Drosophila melanogaster: one gene and its partner. The protein of the gene in region 1 purifies or fractionates together with the protein of each later gene. This does not show direct contact. Each region holds a gene or a part of one and is shown in the gene's direction. Other genes may lie near its edges. The genes, in order: Nup62 and Tdh.

Evidence for each region.
Region 2: the proteins of Nup62 (region 1) and Tdh purify together in Drosophila melanogaster (affinity purification with mass spectrometry, with the first as the bait; one large-scale study listed by BioGRID). This does not show direct contact.

Annotation. Positions count from the first base shown.
Region 1 is NT_033778.4:16,342,426-16,346,642, forward strand, and holds Nup62 (nucleoporin 62kD), read left to right. Parts: upstream 1-1,951; 5' UTR 1,952-2,155; coding exon 2,156-3,340; 3' UTR 3,341-3,403; downstream 3,404-4,217. Other genes in the region: CG7997 (uncharacterized protein), read right to left, coding at 52-229, 298-345, 581-610, 670-761; wcd (wicked), read right to left, coding at 3,450-4,217. UniProt on the Drosophila melanogaster protein: Essential component of the nuclear pore complex. The N-terminal is probably involved in nucleocytoplasmic transport.
Region 2 is NT_037436.4:20,465,020-20,470,404, forward strand, and holds Tdh (L-threonine dehydrogenase), read left to right. Parts: upstream 1-1,924; 5' UTR 1,925-1,992; coding exon 1,993-2,146; intron 2,147-2,699; coding exon 2,700-2,949; intron 2,950-3,107; coding exon 3,108-3,234; intron 3,235-3,293; coding exon 3,294-3,441; intron 3,442-3,946; coding exon 3,947-4,052; intron 4,053-4,112; coding exon 4,113-4,431; 3' UTR 4,432-4,573; downstream 4,574-5,385. Other genes in the region: CG42764 (uncharacterized protein), read right to left, coding at 31-332, 393-521, 602-634; CG32428 (uncharacterized protein), read right to left, coding at 4,778-4,965.

The DNA of each region.
Region 1 (4,217 bases):
TTCGTGTTAGTTTGGCAGCCTTGAGGGCTAGAGTTATATATTAGAAATTACATGATCGGATAAAGCATTTAGGCCGTTGGGAAAGCGCTTTCTGTCCGGAACCAGCTTCTGGGTATCGTTGTCGCGATTCTTCTCCAGCCAGCAGTCATCTATGATGACGTACTCGTAGCCAGCATCCGCATATCCTTCAGAAACCAGGAGATCCGCATGTCTTTGGAAAAGTTTTTCACTGAAACAGGTGAAATGAACAAGAAGTAAAGGAACATTTGAGGATCTGAGTTGGGTTTGGGTATTAACCTGATGCACTCATCCGGATACAGTTTACAGTCGGTGATGCAACGGAATCTGTAAGTAAGACATGGGTAATCAAAAATTCAGAGAATCTTTAAATAGACTATAGTTATATCAGTAGTGTTAGTTATATCAGCAATGAAATAAACAAAAGCGTTATTGCAGCGTAGCGTGTAGAGTTCATGCCAAGGCCTAATTTTTACTAACTATTAAAGTTTATTTATTTTAAATGTTAGACGTAATGATAATTCTTTATGATCTAATCTAGTTGCTGGTAAATATTTCTTACCGCTCCCAGGACATCCAGCCCATAGGTGGCCTAAAATCGACAGAATTTCAATTAAGTGGCCTAGAATCCAATCAAAATTTAATACTCACTTTAGTGCCAGGCCATTATCGAGGCCCATGGATAATTGCAGAACCTGCAGCAGAAGAATCCCGCCCAGAAAGACGCCCCACGTTCCGTACATGGCGAGCTAGTGGCACCGACTGAATCCTGGCCTTTGGGCACCCAGGGAATTTATATTCTCCAGCGGGCGGCACTCCAGATAACTCTGTTTGGCAGGGGCACCTGAGGAGCTGGAGGTAGGGGAATGGCACCTGAAGAGCTGACAGAAGGTTAGTGGCTAATTGCTATTGCAGCGGAGTACTCCCATCGACTGATTGGTGTTCGCCGGGTGGCGCAAACAGCGGGCTTTCTCGATTGCAGGAGGAGCCGGAGCCCCTTATCACGCCAAGTTCACAGCGATCACAGGGAGCAAATAGAGAAAATCGAGGAGAGACCGAGAACAGGGGCTTTTGATTCTGATATGCTTTTGTTGTTCAATTCTGGCGCTGCTTGCCAGCTACACTGGTCAACAAAGTTGGGGAAATAGTTGGAAGCATAGTAGACTAGAGCACGGTACTAGTGATGGGAAAACATGTACTAACAAAACATAGGAACTATGGTCTTTTATTAGAAAATTTTGATCTGGTTTTTAAGAATAATTTAAAATTTCTGTTTTTGAGGATCAGATCTCAGATCTTATGAAAATCTTAAAAAGAATCTTATTACAAAAAAAAAAAAAACCGAAGGTCAAAGACAAGCTCTAATTGTTGTACCGCATTACGTTTGTACCTTAGGTAATTTTTCTAATTTTGTGGCTGGCAGCTCTGAAGAGAACCTACACAGGTACGCAGAACGAACCTTCTGATAGGAAGCACACATGTGTTTAGCTGATTTAGCAAAATGCAATTACTGAACTGAGTGCCGCTGCACTTTGGGCTTGTAATTGAATTCTTTTGACCCAAATGTTACCTTATCGCCTTTGCACTTACAGATAGCAAAAGATGACTAATTAAAGCCGGTGTTTTGTTATTGATTTTGTTTGTACGATTGACTACGTTTTCTTTCTGAGTTGGTTTTTTTATTTAAGTTGCGCGGAATGATTTGTTCCATGTACGACTAAAACTGGAGCTAAAACATAGCTCTCGACCAGTGTTGTTTGTCGATTTCGCAAGTTAGTTGATCGCTGGTTAAAAAAACGGACACAGACATAAATATATTTTAAAAGTGCAAAAAGTGATTGCAAACGTTAAAATAATATAAATGTTTTGGTTTTCAGCATGTTTTAGTAACAAAAATGTATCGTCGACTGAGCAAAGTACTTCATTTGTATTGCCAATTCAAAGAAATTTAAAATTTAATTTTGCCGCCCAATCTTCAAACTGCTAAGTGTTTTGGCTTGAAAATAGCTAGCTTGAGCTCAAATTTAGTTGATTTCCAACACCGACAACATTGCGGAACTCCAAGGAGGGGTCACACTGGTTGCTTTTGGCGTGTTTCGTTTGATTTAGATTTATATTATTCGTCTTAAGTTTAAGCATGGTATTCCAGTTGCCAACAACAACCGCCGCCCCGACCGGAGGCGCAACATCGTCGTTTTCCTTCGGCCTCAGCACAGGAACACCAGCCGCAGCACCAGCTTCAGGAGCAGCAACCACGGCTCCCGCCACAAAAACCACATTCTCTTTCGGAACACCGGCACCTACTGCTGGTATCGGTGGCGGAGATGCAGACAACAGCAAGGCGCAGGCTCCACCAGCCTTTGGATTTGGCCTGGGATCCGGGACTGCTTCAGCTCCCCTCACGCTGGGCACTCAAGCCGCCGCAAATCCAGCGTCCACCACTTCTGCGACCGCGACTGGAACCTCTGCTGCTCCTCCCGCCTTCGGAGGCTTTACGGCTCAACCAGCGGCATCTGTGGTGCCAACTATAGCAACCAGTGCACCCAACACCGCAGCTACCACAACTGGATTGCTGGGCGGGTCTGGATTGGGAGCTCCCAAGACCACGGCCGCTGCGTCCACAACTCTGACTGCAGCTCCGTCGGCCATAGCCTCCACGCAGGGAGCTGCACCGGCCCCAACTTTAAGTACTGGTGGTGCTTTTGCCAATCTCACTACCGAAACCAAGACCACAGACTCATCGGCCGTTTCCACGGCATCCCAATTGTCCTACCACCAACTTGAGGAGCATATCAACAAGTGGACTCTCGAGTTCGAGGAACAGGAAAAGGTATTCACCGAACAGGCCACTCAGATCAACGCATGGGACAAACTGCTCATCAGCAACAACGGGAAGATCGTCGAGCTCAACGATGCCGTGAAAAAAGTGAAAACCGATCAGCAAGTGCTGGACCAGGAGCTGGAGTTTATAGCCACGCAGCAAAAAGAGCTTGAGGACAGCCTGGGACCGCTTGAGAAGGAATTCGTTAATCTCCCGAGGGTGGACATGGAACGCAGCCAAACCTACCTGATGGTGGAGAATCTGGACACACAACTGAAGCAGATGTCCGAGGATCTAAAGGAGATAATAGACAACTTGAACGAGGCCAACAAGGGCCAGGACACCACTGATCCCATCATACAGATCGGAAAAATCCTTAATGCCCATATGAATTCGTTGCAGTGGATCGAATCGCAGTCGACGAACATCAGCAAGAAGCTGGAAGACATTGGCAAGATTCAAGACTCCCAGAAACGCGATATTTTCCGAGCTCCTTTCTAAAGATAAGTCCCCTTAATTTGTTAACTTAAATAAAGATGGTTCCATTGTAACCACAGAAAGAGTAATGATTTTATTTAAGAATTTATTGTAAACATCATACTGCCTTCAATTAATAACCCTTGAAGTACTTAAGCCTAAAGAGCGGCACCTGTTTGCCCTTAGTGGCAAAGGCCAGGAAGCTGCTGTGCGGCGAAAAGGCCATGGAGGTCACAAAGCCAACCTTCTCGTTCTGTGCCGGGAAATTGGAGTACACAGTGGCGCTGGGGAAATGGGCCAGCTTAAAAGCATTCGGCGCCTCACTGGAGCACATCGCCAGTAGCTCAGATGAGTGATTGAACTGGAGATCCGTGATGGCAGTCCGTAGGTTCATGAAGCGCTTCTCGGGTTGTGGGGCCTTGGATGCGAAAATGCTCTCGTAGTCGTAGATGTTGACCACGCCCTCTTGACTGCCGGTGGCCAGTAGGCGTTGGTTGGGAGACAGTTGAATGGACTCTCCATGTATACAGCCGTCGTCCATGAAGATGTGCTCGATGAGGTTCTGGCGCAGGTTCAGCACGCTGACATTGGAAGTGGAACCGCAGACGAGGATCCTCTTGGAGTCACTAGACCATGTGAATCCCTTCACTTTGCCCTCCTGCTTGAAGCTGTGCAGCAGCTCATTTGTTTTGGCCGTGAGCAGGTGAATGGCTCCAAACTTGCCAGCAGTGACGATAAATTTGCCACATGGAGACACCTCAAAGCGGTGCATAAATTCCATTGCGCCCGGCAGCTTTAGCTTCGATTCCTTGGCTTCCAGCAAGTCGTAGGAGTAGTAGAATGGTTTCACAGAACCAAAGAACGCCCTTGTGCCGCATGGAGCAATTCTGGAGCACGCCAG
Region 2 (5,385 bases), on another chromosome or scaffold:
AGTGACGCGAAAAATGCACACTTTACTTACGATCGATCTTTTGGCGCCCATCCAACACCCATTTCTGTCGTTGATTTCCACGTGATGGCCGAGAATTTGTCAGCCAATGATTGTTCGACTTTCGTCCTTCGCTCCTTTGCTATGCCATAGGATGCCGCCCCTTCACTAGCCCAGTAATAAACACACTCATTTCTTATAAATTCGCAAATATTCTCCGTATAGAAATCATTTTCCGGCTCCGATAAGGGATAGTCCAAGTGATCCACTCGAATGTTTCTATCTTTAGCTGTCTCGTATAATATTTGATCTGGAATATTTAAAGTAGCCAGATGCTGTGTATGATCAGTTTTCAGTTTATCTGTGCAAATGAAGTAGCGTACGACGATTCATACAATTGCGTACTCTTCAGCATCGTGGGAGAGTTCATCCGATTCGATTAGCTCTGGAACTACCCAAGTCCTACGGTGATCATTGTGAGCATCGTACGCTTCGCTCCTAATGACATTGTATCCCAAGCAAGGCTGTTAGAAGTAGCATAATTGTTATATTTTATATTATATTATATATTATATTTTTTTATATTAATTATGTTTTAAATTACCCTAAAAGCAAGAAAAAACAGAAAAAGCAGCATGTATTACGTTTGTTGTGTTTATTGCACACTGTATTTTGACAAGATTTTCTAGACTGTCAAGTTTGTTTCTCAAAAAAAAACAGAAAAGATAATGCTTAGACATAAAATATTGCGGAATAGGTGCACAACATGCAAGAAGAAAAGTGAAATTTTCAGCTGTTATTGTTTTTCTCCTGTCAGGCACAATAATATAATAATATTTTTAATTCTATAAGCATAATATTTACGAAATTCTCCCCAATCCAATCCATCTATATGCGTCATGCAGTTGTCAGGGCCATGTTTGCACCCCACTGCTACCAGACGATAAGACCACTACGGAAACTAGTCGGTCATCTCGTCGATTGCCGGATTCATTGCACTTTACTATCTGGACACTCCACGTGTTCTATTCAAATTCGGACTGACACCCGCCCAGGGATTTCAGTTCACTGTCAGCGAAACTGAAATTTGCACTGGATTCCATCCAAGGTTAATTCGATTTGCGGCACATGAAGGGATCGTTTATCATTAAGATCGGACGATGTTCTTTCTGAATGGTGTGATGTTAGGTTTTAGGATAGACAATACATGGTATGTTGGGACTAGTTAACACTGTTTTGGTTGATCAAGTTCTACGATTCGTTTGCTGGAGTGCTTAACAAGTAATTACTTCTTCTAATTTAGTTCGAGTAATCTATGAAGTTCTGTTTTAAACTATTACCTACTAGAAAGACTTCCTTGGGTTAGAGTGGCTTTATGTTATAGCAGTTCGATTGATGGGTAAAGAGAATTCGAGTGGTCGCACACACACACCGCATGGATTGGCCCCCTAGAAAAGAGGGGCCTGTCCGAGAACCCAGCTAAAGAGCACCCTGTAGATTACATAACCGCCCGTCAACCGAGACATATGTACATATATGATGTATTTGCACAGATTTAGACATGCCCCGCCGCAGAAAAGGAAAGCCACCCAACTGAGTTGTTGTTGTCAATTGGCGGGCCTCCTCCATATAATTTGCTTTCGTTTTTATTGAATCTTGCCGGGGCCCCAAACAAAATCGGTGCGCCATGGCGACAAGTCCCACTTCCATAGCCATACCCATACCCATTCCTGATCTCATAATGAATTTGACTGGCTGCCAACTGACACTCACTAACCCAATTGACTAAGTAACTAAGCGACCAGACGAGACGATTGGAGCCGACGGGATCCGAGTGCTCAGGCGATATATATATGTATGTACATATGTATATAGCGGAAACAAGGCGCTAATGTTGAGGGACTGGTGGAAAACATTTCGCAAATTTCGAAATCAGTTCAAAATCGCAGCTCGCTGGCAGCGCTCGTCGCGAATCGAAAAAGTCCAGTTCGCAAAATGTTTCGCAAATGCCTCGCCAGCCTGGCTTTGGCCCCAGTTGCCAGTCCCATTCCGCTGCCCAGGATCACCCCGATCGCCAGCCAGCTTGTCCAGCGTCGCGCGTTCCACCAGGTTCCTCGCGAGAGTAGGCCACCCAAAATTCTGATCACAGGTCAGTTGCCGCGCCACGTGGATCTGCTAAATTTAACCGCGTCCAAGGCCGATCGGAACAAATTTATCATATTTTAGCATATAGTGGACACGTTTAACTGAAAGACATCCCACAGTTTATACATGCTTTTGAATATTTTTTGACATTTTTGGAAGTTTTACATCCCTTGTGAACTTACAAGTTATAGTTATAGTGATGGTGTCAGCAAATAGAACAGCAAGAATATAATATAATATTGAAATGATAACTTTTTTACTTTAGTGTAAGATCTAAGTGCTGCGAAGCACTAGATACATTAAACAATCTATTCTATATAACTAGGATATATAAAGAAAGAAATGGTAATCTGGTGATTTTAGCTCCAAATATTATATGTAAATTCCCTATACCTGTGCATGGAAAAACTAATTTTCCTATTTTAATTCGTTTATACACGTTTTATTTCTCAAAATGCTGGCCCGTTAAGTGTGAAGCCTGAAAGAATGCTACAATATGTATTGTAGATTCACTTTCAATAAAATCTGAGTGCAACAATCGTTTTGATTTCTTTCAGGTGGCTTGGGCCAGTTGGGCATCGAGTGCGCCAAACTCCTGCGGACGCAGTATGGCAGCCAAAACGTGATCCTCTCGGACATTATAAAGCCCAGTCAGTCGGTACTGGAGAATGGTCCCTACATTTTTGCCGACATCCTGGACTTCAAGGGTCTCCAGAAGATCGTTGTGGACCATCGCATTGACTGGCTGATCCATTTCTCGGCCCTGCTGAGTGCGGTGGGAGAGCAAAATGTTCCACTGGCTGTGAGGTAGGATATCTTAGTTATCTCTAGTTGCAATCATTATAGCAAACCCTATCCTACATTCCTTTCCAAGTAACTAAAGTCAAGTAACTACTCCCACGTAACTATTGCATAATGACTCTTGTGCCATTTTAATCGTAAGTAATATGAATCCTCCATCGCAGGGTCAACATCGAGGGTGTCCACAACGTCATCGAGCTGGCGAAGCAGTATAAGCTCCGCATCTTCGTACCAAGCACAATCGGAGCCTTCGGTCCCGACAGTCCTCGCAATCCCACGCCGAATGTTACGGTAGGTCCACCACTTTCAAAGCCAGAAGTTTGTTCGATACTGAGGACCCATTTCCGCAGATCCAACGGCCGCGCACCATTTACGGCGTTTCCAAGGTGCACGCCGAGCTGATTGGCGAATACTACTACCACAAGTTTGGACTGGACTTCAGATGCCTGCGCTTCCCAGGAGTGATTTCCAGTGATCCGCCGGGCGGCGGCACCACAGGTATTTAAGCACCGTACATTTCTGTGGAGACTCAAGCACATCAATCTGCGTGGAAATATCTGCGAGATACTCTTCCCGCTGAAGTCATGTCGTCGAGCGCACTTCAAGCTTTATTTAATCCAATTTCGTATCATAAATGCTCCAATTGAAGATAGTTTATGATAATCAAAGAGCATGACAATGGCCATAATTCGTACAAAATGCAGAGGGTTTTGTTGGGGAGCCGCAAACCTGGTGACCCATATTAACTTATCTTTGATTGAACTGATTAACTTAAAGATTGTCTAAGTCTCAACTACTCTGCATTGCTTTCACTCATGAATGGAATAATAATGCTTATTACACTTTGGGGAAAGCTAATTTGTTTTAATGCCATTGCATTCTTATGAAATCACGTATACGCACCGTGAATCGAATCATTTCTGCAGCTTTATACAAATTTATAATGTACCAAAAACAAGTCCTGCTTTAACATTTCACATTTGTTATTTGTTTCAACTTTTAGATTACGCTGTGGCCGTGTTCCATGAAGCGCTGCGCAATGGAAAGTACACCTGCTACCTGCGTCCTGACACAAGACTGCCCATGATGTACATTGAAGATTGTTTGCGGTGAGTAATAAGTGCATTGTAACAAACTATTTCTTTGTTACTAATGACCCATCTAACTAGGGCTCTCCTCGAGTTCATGCGTGCTCCCAACGAACAGCTGAAGCGCCGCGTCTACAACGTGACCGCCATGTCCTTCACTCCCGAGGAGCTGTTCGCCCAGCTGGGCAAGCACGTGCCCAATCTGCACGTGACCTACAAGCCAGATAGCCGCCAGTTGATCGCAGACGCCTGGCCGCAGGTATTCGATGACTCCGATGCGCGGCGCGACTGGCACTGGCAGCACAAGTACGACCTGTCCAACCTGGTGGACTTCATGATCAAGGACGTGCAGGATAACTACATTAATGTTCAGCCGGAGCAGCAGACTCTGCAGATCTAAGACGTGGATCGAACAACCGCATCTAGTATTGCTAAGTAATGAAATCCAATCGCATTTAACACTGCATTTATCTAGTGAATAGCAACACAAACCACTGTAACATTTTACCTTTTAAAATACAGTAAGGCATTTATTGGAAAGGAAAACTATTGGTTCATTTCATCTTGAAGAATTGTGATCTTAAAGTTCTTCAGCACATGGAAATACTTTCGATTATTGATGTGAGTTTCGCACGATAGCTTTTGGTTTATTCGAACTCAAATACTATTGGTAAGCACCTTTAGTTTGCGACAGCTTATATTACAACTTAGGCTAGGATGTACAATTCTTGCTCGGAGTTACTTTATCATATATCAGACTCCTCTAGCTCCGATCCGCCGAGCCCACAAAAGTGGTGCAGACTGCCGCCGTGTGTGGCTATATACAAGTCCGCTTCGGCTTCGCTGCCTATGGACTTTAATTTGATTTTCCCAATAGAATTATTAGATTTTCTTGACTTTTGCTGCGGGGACGGCACTCGTTGCTCTGCGGATTCTGTAAACGAGCAGATTGGAGATTTGTCTATCAATTTGGGTCACTAACTTGGCCTTTCGCGTTTGCTGTTTGGATCTTCCACAAAGTGCTCTTTAAAAGTTGGCTGACTTCATTAACTTAAACTTCGAATAAAATAGAAAAAATAAAGTATATAAAAAAAATTTAAGTATAACAGAATTTATATAAAGATCGGTGGTAGCTGTTAAGTTTATTGCAAATATATGTGAGTGTAAAAATTGATACAAAAGATATAAGCACTCACCGCGGTCTTAAGCTACTAAGTCATCAATATACCTAAAGCATATGTTGATAACGATTTGAACTAATGGTAAAGTATACCTTAGAAATAAATTTACGACTATGGTTGCGTATCAGCCAACTTCACATATTAAATTCACTTTGTGAAGGCTCCCAGCAATC